Linked DNA regions of Canis lupus familiaris. The protein of the gene in region 1 purifies or fractionates together with the protein of each later gene. This does not show direct contact. Links are inferred from orthologs where the notes say so. Each region holds a gene or a part of one and is shown in the gene's direction. Other genes may lie near its edges. The genes, in order: USP13 and BAG6.

Region 1 (3,812 bases):
ACATTAAGTGTGTGGTTTTTATTTTTATTTTATTTATTTTTTTTAAGATATTATTTATTTATTAATGAGAGACACACAGAGAGAGAGAGAGAGAGAGAGAGGCAGAGACACAGGCAGAGGGAGAAGCAGGCTCCATGCAGGGAGCCCGACGTGGGATTCGATCCGGGTCTCCAGGATCACACCCTGAGCTTTAAAGGAAGGCGCTAAACTGCTGAGCCACCCCTGCGTCCCAGTGTGTGGTTTTTAAAAGTCCTGAGAATTCATGATGAAAGGCTCTCACCCCTACCCCCTTAAAAAAACAACTACTTTTTTTTTTTTTTTTTCTGATTACAAACCTGTTCTTTGCGGAAAATATAAAAAGGCACAAAGGAAAAAATGAGAATCACTCGTGGTAACAGCCCCTACAGACAACCGGTGCTGACATTTTGGTGTCTGACCCACCAGTCACTTTCTGGGAGCATTTATTCTCTTCATGCTGTTTTATAAGCATTGTTTTCTTTTCTTTTCTTTTTTTTTTTTTTAAGATTTTATTTATTCATGAGAGACAACAGAGAGAGGCAGAGAGACACAGGCAGAGGGAGAAGCAGGCTCCATGCAGGGAGCCTGATGCAGGACTCAATCCCGGGTCTCCAGGATCAGGCCCTGGGCTGAAGGCGGCACTAAACCGCTGAGCCACCCAGGTGTCCCAAGCATTGTTTTCCACTTATCCTGTTGTGAACATTTTGCCACATCATTACATATTTGAATGTAGTGTGATTTCTTTTTAAAATTTGTATATAATTTACACTAATGCATTTACATGACCATAGCATATGCGCCTTCATTTTTCCAGGGCAGTCCTTTAGGTTGGTTCTCCCACCCCCTTTCTTCTGATTCCATCTAGGTCAGTTCCTCTTTGATGACTGTTAGTAGCTGTGTAATGTTCATTCACATGATGAACTATAGTTTAACCAGTCCCCCCATTTTGGGATATATGGCAGTGTTTGGTTATTAAAGGACTCTGGTGAACCGCCATGCCCACAGGGAAGGCTTAGTAATGCCCAATCCTTACACCAGATTTATATTCTCTTCTATGCTGGTTTTTATTCACGGCTTAATATTTCATACTTTTACTAACCTTATATAATCTAACCTTCAGAGGAACCGCATTGGCTCTGAAAACCCAAGTGATGTTTTTCGGTTTTTGGTGGAAGAACGTATCCAGTGCTGTCAGACTCGAAAAGTCCGCTACACGGAGAGAGTGGATTACCTGATGCAGTTACCTGTGGCCATGGAGGCAGCAACCAACAAGGGTAATGGTCCCAGAGTGGGAAATTGGCCGTGTGCTTCCTCATCCGTGCAAACCCTGCAATCAGAGATAATGTGGTTTAGTCACTGCTAAGTCACGTCAGGAGGAGACCCAGCCCAGATGGTGTCTGGTTGGCACGTCTCTTTACCTCAGCCCCCATGTGAGAAGAGTCAGAGGCATCATGGGTTTTTGTTGGAGGGATTATGGATAGAACCTATTTTAGTGCCTATAAATTTGACCAACTGGTTGATTTGGAGTCAGCTTAGTTTGGGGGAATATTATTTGTAATTATAGATGTGGAAAATTCTTTAATGTTAGCGCTCAACGATTTATGCCATAAATTCTGGGGGAAATGATCAGAATCGCATTTTTTGAGGTGAGACGATCTAGGAGAGCTTGCTTGAAGTAATCTGAGAATTGAAGACGCCTCCTGTGGGAGATGCAGTGGGGCAGGGCTCTTGTAGGGAAAGGCCCCTTAGAAGGGTCTTCGGACTTTGGAAACAGGAAGAATGTAGAGGAGCTGCGGTAAGGCTGGGGTCTCTGGGAAAGACTCCTTTAGTCCGTTTGTCTGGGAGAATGGGAGAATGGTATTTCTTAGAAATGAAGCAGAAAAAGGCAAAATGTTTGCTCTATTTCTTGTGTCCTGTGAACTGGTCATTTCTGTAAAAGTCAGTAATTCACTGGGTGGCCTTCTTTCCTCTTTTTTTGTGGGGGAGAGTCAGTTTGCTGTGCTAATTGAAAAGTGATGATTATGACATTTTTGGGATGAAATGATTTCCATTTTCTATAAGCTCATGCAGCTTTTGATCAGTTTCTAAATTCTTACCCATTTTATAAGGTAGAAATGAGGGTAGGGGTCTGTAGTTTGTTTCCAGTTTAGAATTAGGCTTAATTGTTCTCTCTTCCCAGCCTTGAGGAGGTTCCACTCAGTTCTGTGATCCTCTCTAACTCACTGTTTATAATTTGTGAGTGACAACTATTCTTTTTCAGAAATATTTATAATTTAGTCTCTGGAAATTGATTGCTGGGAACACCTAATGCTGGTATTCTAGATCTAAGTACATCATAAACTGATTGTGGACTGGACAATGAATTTTAAAAAAAATATTTTATTTATTCATGAGAGAGAGAGAGAGAGAGAGAGAGAGAGAGACAGAGGCAGAGACACAGACAGAGGGAAAAGCAGGCTCCATTCAGGGAGCCCAACGTGGGGCTTGATCTTGGGTCTCCAGGACCATGCCCTGGGCTGAAGGTGGCGCTAAACTGCTGAGCCAATCGGGCTGCCCTGGACAATGAATTTTAAACCCATTTTCAGATGTGCTTAAGAAGACACAGAAGGGCATAAGGGTGCCTAAAAACTGATAATCAGGAGTGATTTTTTTGGGGGGTAAACAAAAGGAATTCCCAGAAAGACCCACTCAAAACTATGTAAAATTTTGACTTATAGGCAATTTCCAAGAGCAGATCTACTGACTCCTGGGAAGTTGATGATGTGCTGTTTCCTTTTTCCCTTGGTATTTAATTGTTTGAGTAGGAATAGTGTAGAAAGGCCTTCTAGGCTGGTAGCTCTGCTACCTGACCTTGTGGGTCACCTCATTGTCAGGGCAGTGCTGGTTAGAATCATGTGCTGAGTGGAGTGGAGGACTGTGGTCCCTACAGTTTAGCTCCTTGGTCCACACTCTCCATGACCTCTAATCAGAATGAGATGACCCTTGGGTCTCCATTCAGTGTGAGATTCTGTGATGTGAAGACTTTGTGATTGGAAGGTGGCATTTGGGTAATCCCAGCCTTGACCTCTGGACAAATGAAGGACCAGGTTTCTGCATCACTTATATCACATGTGAGGTCAGGAGGACCTCTGATCTGGGCTGGAGTTCACAGATCCCTCCCATCAGTCTCAAAGGGGAACAGGCAAAAAAATATGAATGGCTTATGCAGCCTGTCAGTGCCACTTTAAAAATGGCTCAAGAACAGCCCTTCAGTAGGCTTTTCTGGATCCATAAAGGGCAACAAATAAGTAATCCTGCCCTGGCCCAGATACCTTCAGGAAGATTGGCCAAAGGGAGTATTTTTCACTTCAAGAAGCTAGAGTGAGTACAAGTGAATACAATTTGCTCTTTTACTCAGATGAACTGATTGCCTATGAATTGACGAGAAGGGAAGCAGAAGCAAACAGAAGACCCCTTCCCGAGTTGGTTCGTGCCAAGATACCGTTTAGTGCCTGCCTTCAGGCCTTTTCTGAACCAGAAAATGTAGATGACTTCTGGAGTAGCGCCCTACAAGCAAAATCTGCGGGTGTGAAGTAAGTGCGCATGTGTATGCACTTGTGTGTTTGTGCTTGTGTGGTGATAGTGGCATGAGGAGGGGCCCTTGAGAAGTGGGGATGAGGAGGGGAGAGGTGGCAGGGTATTGTATGAGTCTGTGCACGCTTGCTCATGTGTAGTGAGATTGGATTATGATTCATGCGACCCTCATGGTCAGAGAGCTTACTTGTGAGGCCTGTCCAATAAAATAGGCTTAGAAT
Region 2 (3,812 bases), on another chromosome or scaffold:
TTGGGTAACGGGTATATGAGGGCTCATTATAACATCTGGGAGTAATGTTTGCCATTTCTTTTTTTTTTGTTGTTTAATGTTTACCATTTCTTATAGTAAGAAGCAAATATATATAAAATACAGTAGTTTATTGGGGCAGTAAAGTAGACGTGCTTGACCCGGGGGCTGGTAGGCCGGGGTTTGTCGGTTCTGCCTTAGTTTTGCCTAAGTGTACTCACCTATAAAATGGATGTAATGACCATCTCCGGTATTGAAAGGCTTTTAAACAGGACAGTACGCAAAGCCCTGAGTATATTCCTGTTACAAACCAAGTGCTCGCTAAACAATTATTTATTAGGGCTCTTATGAATCAGTACTGGGAATCGAGTAGGAACGACAGGCCCCACAAAGGCCGTGGGCCCGGAAGGGAGGCAGGCAGGCCTACCCGAGGCCGAGGTTGGGGGCTCAGGCGGTGAGCACTGCCCAGTCCGCCGGGGGACCCCGGCCTGCGGAAGCCCTTCGGTGGCCCCTTCAGTGCTCCAGGGCCGGAATCCTGTGTTTCGGCCCAGTCCAACTCCACTCCCTTCCAATTCCCAAACTCGGAGGCGCCCTTCCTGAGGAGAGTCCTGTGAAGCAGTGAATCCGTAGTTGCTCCACAACATGGCGTGTCCACCGGCCGCACGCTGCCACCGAGGAACATGGCGCCCGCGTCCAGCCAAACGCCCACCACGCAGCGCCGAGGTCGGCCGCAACCACGCGGCGGCACGCCCCGGCTGCTCGCGAACCACCTCCAACGCCTAGAGAAAGGAGGACTTCCGGAGGCGCCGAAGACAGAATTTTAGGAGGCCAGCGCAGTGCCGCCTCAAATTCTCGGCCGGCCAAGACTTTAACAGAGATTCACGAGGCATAATCCCCAGTCGCCAAACCGCTAGAGGCACACAACTGTCCCAAGCCTCTTGAAACATAGTCTCTCACCTGGTAATTATTTTCAGGCATTTAAAGTAGCCACCTCAACCACCTACAGCTCAAGCGCGTACACAGACAAGAACAGCGTTAGCGGGGGGTTGGGCGGTGCCTAAAGGTGTACGCATGCGTAGTGCGACGCGCGCAGGCGCAGGACGGCCCCCCGGGCGACGGTGGCGGTGGCTCCTCGGGGTGTTCGGCTCCCTCCCATCCAGGCCGGCCCCGGCCCGTCTGGCCCCAAGGAACTCACTGTTTGGGGCCGCGAACTTCCTCATCGTTCCCAACAAAAGTAAAACTTCGGGACCTGGGGGGAGCCGGAAGTACCGCCTTGCGATCCCCAAATACTATCGGGGAAACGGAAGTGACCATCGGTGGCAAGTTGGGGGAGACCGGAAGTGACGGTACCGTGGGGAAGTCGGGGGCGGAGCCCGGGGTGGTGGTGTGGGTTGCGGTGGGGTTTGTGCGTGTGTGTGGTGTGTGTTGATTGCGCCGCTCTCCTGGAGCATCGAGGGAAGGCGGAAGAGGGGGGCAGTCAGCTAGCCAATCTGGCCCCCCGTGCGTGTCCGTCATTTCGGGTCTGTCGTGATTTAGGCGGGTTCGGTGGGCGTGGCGTGGCGCGCGTGCGCGAAACCACTGTCTCCGCAAAATCTGGCGCGACTCCCCCCTCCCCCCGCTCGCGTGTGCTCCCGGGGGTTTGCCGACCTTTGGGGCCTTTGTCGTATCGCGACTGGTGATGACACGAGTCTCCTGCTTCCTACTTTGCCGGCTTCCCAGCCTGACTGGCCCTCCCTTACTGTGATTGGCATTGCGGAGCCCCTCCCACCTGCCCGTCCTCCAGCTCCCTGTGCCGTCGATCTCCTGCCCTTTGTGTTTCTCTCCTGGTGCCTCGGAATCAGAAGGGGAATGGGGGCGGGTGTGAGTGTGTAGGCTCGTGCGGGAAAAACTCTTCAGATATTAGGGCGGAGACTCAAGCCGGTGAGGCTTCCGGGTATATAAAATCAGCTCTGGGCGACAGGAGGCTTCCCTCCCTCTATTCTTTAGAGATCTATCTGCGATGGAGCCCACTGATAGTACCAGTACCACTTCCAGTATGGAGGAGCCTGACAGCCTGGAGGTGCTGGTGAAGACCTTGGACTCTCAGACTCGGACATTTATTGTGGGGGCCCAGGTGAGACCCCAGTACTTTTGGAAGACACCCATTAACTCTTTCTGTTGTAGGTCTGTTATCCTGAGAGAACCGAATTTCTTTGGTCCTTAAATCTTACTTCATTGGTTCCTTTGTTCACGTTCTAGATAGGACGTTTTCTGGTGTTTGTTGTTGAGGGAGAAGGTATGGATTCTGTCGAATGAGGCAGATTTTGTTCTGCCTTTTCCCACCTTGAAAGAATTCAGTGCAGAGGAAAATACGGAGGGAGAAATACGTATGCCAGCATCATGAGTGAACCCCAGCCCAAGAGGACAGACATGGCTCCTGCCTTTGGGAAGGGAAACAGAACAGAGATCCAAAACTCAAGTCTTAAAAATTGGTCAGGTCTGTTTTATGTCCTTTTTTTTTTTTAATTTTTATTTATGTACGATAGTCACACAGAGAGAGAGAGAGAGAGGCAGAGACATAGGCAGAGGGAGAAGCAGGCTCCATGCACCGGGAGCCCAACGTGGGATTCGATCCCGGGTCTCCAGGATCGCACCCTGGGCCAAAGGCAGGCGCCAAACCGCTGCGCCACCCAGGGATCCCTGTTTTATGCCTTTAAAGGCTAGAAGTCAGAGCCTATAATGCAGGTAGAACTCTAACACACTGCTGAGCGGAATCACTAGTGTGTGTGGCATAATTTGAATCTTTTGTTTTTAGCGCCACAGACATGGCTGTTATGCCATTAATTCCTGTGATATTTTGAGACAAAATCATGAGGGGTTGTTCCGTAGCTTTTAAAACATATAGAAAAAATCATATAGGTCCTTGTGATTAGATGTATGTAAACTGGTGCTTCCCAAGAATCACTACTACAGTTAGGAAAGTGTTTGCTCTTTTCTTTCTGCTCTGTTGAACCTTCCTTTCTTGATTTTCTACTCCCGCTTCCTTATCATTGCATTTGTCTTTGAGATTGCAGAGTTGTAGCATTTTGTGTTTGGGGAGGGGTCATTGGTATCTGTAGACACATTCTTTTGGGAGCGGGGAGAGAAGGATATGTCACTCAGTATTTCTGTTTCTCAGCCACATATTTTTCTCTGGGCACATAATCTGAACTTTGTTAATGTTTATTGTCTTTTTTGACAGGTGTTAAAATGTCTTAGTTTGGGGCTTTGCATAATAATTACCTCACAGTCAAGACAAATGGGTAGCGGTTTTATGGTTGAGTGGTTTTTACCCCTCACTCCCAAAAGTCACTTGTTCCCCTTCCGTACTTCTCTCCTCCAATCGCTGCTAGTTTTTTGTCTCTTTTTCCTTGTAGATGAATGTAAAGGAGTTTAAAGAGCACATTGCTGCCTCTGTTAGTATTCCCTCTGAGAAACAACGGCTCATTTATCAGGGACGAGTTCTGCAGGATGATAAGAAGCTCCAGGAATACAGTAAGAGTTTGGGGGAGGCAGTTCAGAGGTTGTTGAGGCAGCTGTCTAGAGAGATGAATTGAGGCATTGGGCTTACCTGATTATATAATGCTTTGGTGTGTGTGTGTGTGTGTGTGTGTTTTTCCTGCAGATGTTGGGGGAAAGGTTATTCACCTGGTGGAACGGGCTCCTCCTCAGACTCCGCTCCCTTCTGGGGCATCTTCTGGGATAGGATCTGCCTCAGCCACCCATGGTGGAGGACCCCCGCCTGGTACTCGGGGGCCTGGGGCCTCTGTTCATGACCGGAATGCCAACAGCTATGT

The links.
Region 2: the proteins of USP13 (region 1) and BAG6 purify together in Homo sapiens (affinity purification with western blotting; 3 studies listed by BioGRID and IntAct, with this or other methods). This does not show direct contact. The link is inferred for Canis lupus familiaris from reciprocal best matches to the Homo sapiens genes USP13 and BAG6.

The regions. Positions count from the first base shown.
Region 1 is NC_049255.1:13,303,656-13,307,467, forward strand, and holds part of USP13 (ubiquitin carboxyl-terminal hydrolase 13), read left to right. Parts: intron 1-1,138; coding exon 1,139-1,292; intron 1,293-3,415; coding exon 3,416-3,590; intron 3,591-3,812. UniProt on the Homo sapiens protein: Deubiquitinase that mediates deubiquitination of target proteins such as BECN1, MITF, SKP2 and USP10 and is involved in various processes such as autophagy, endoplasmic reticulum-associated degradation (ERAD), cell cycle progression or DNA damage response.
Region 2 is NC_049233.1:1,274,045-1,277,856, reverse strand, and holds part of BAG6 (large proline-rich protein BAG6), read left to right. Parts: exon of another isoform or gene 1-146; intron 147-218; exon of another isoform or gene 219-414; intron 415-424; coding exon of another isoform or gene 425-679; exon of another isoform or gene 680-1,517; intron 1,518-1,644; exon of another isoform or gene 1,645-1,788; intron 1,789-1,983; 5' UTR 1,984-1,996; coding exon 1,997-2,110; intron 2,111-3,392; coding exon 3,393-3,510; intron 3,511-3,640; coding exon 3,641-3,812. Other genes in the region: APOM (apolipoprotein M), read right to left, coding at 425-679. UniProt on the Homo sapiens protein: ATP-independent molecular chaperone preventing the aggregation of misfolded and hydrophobic patches-containing proteins.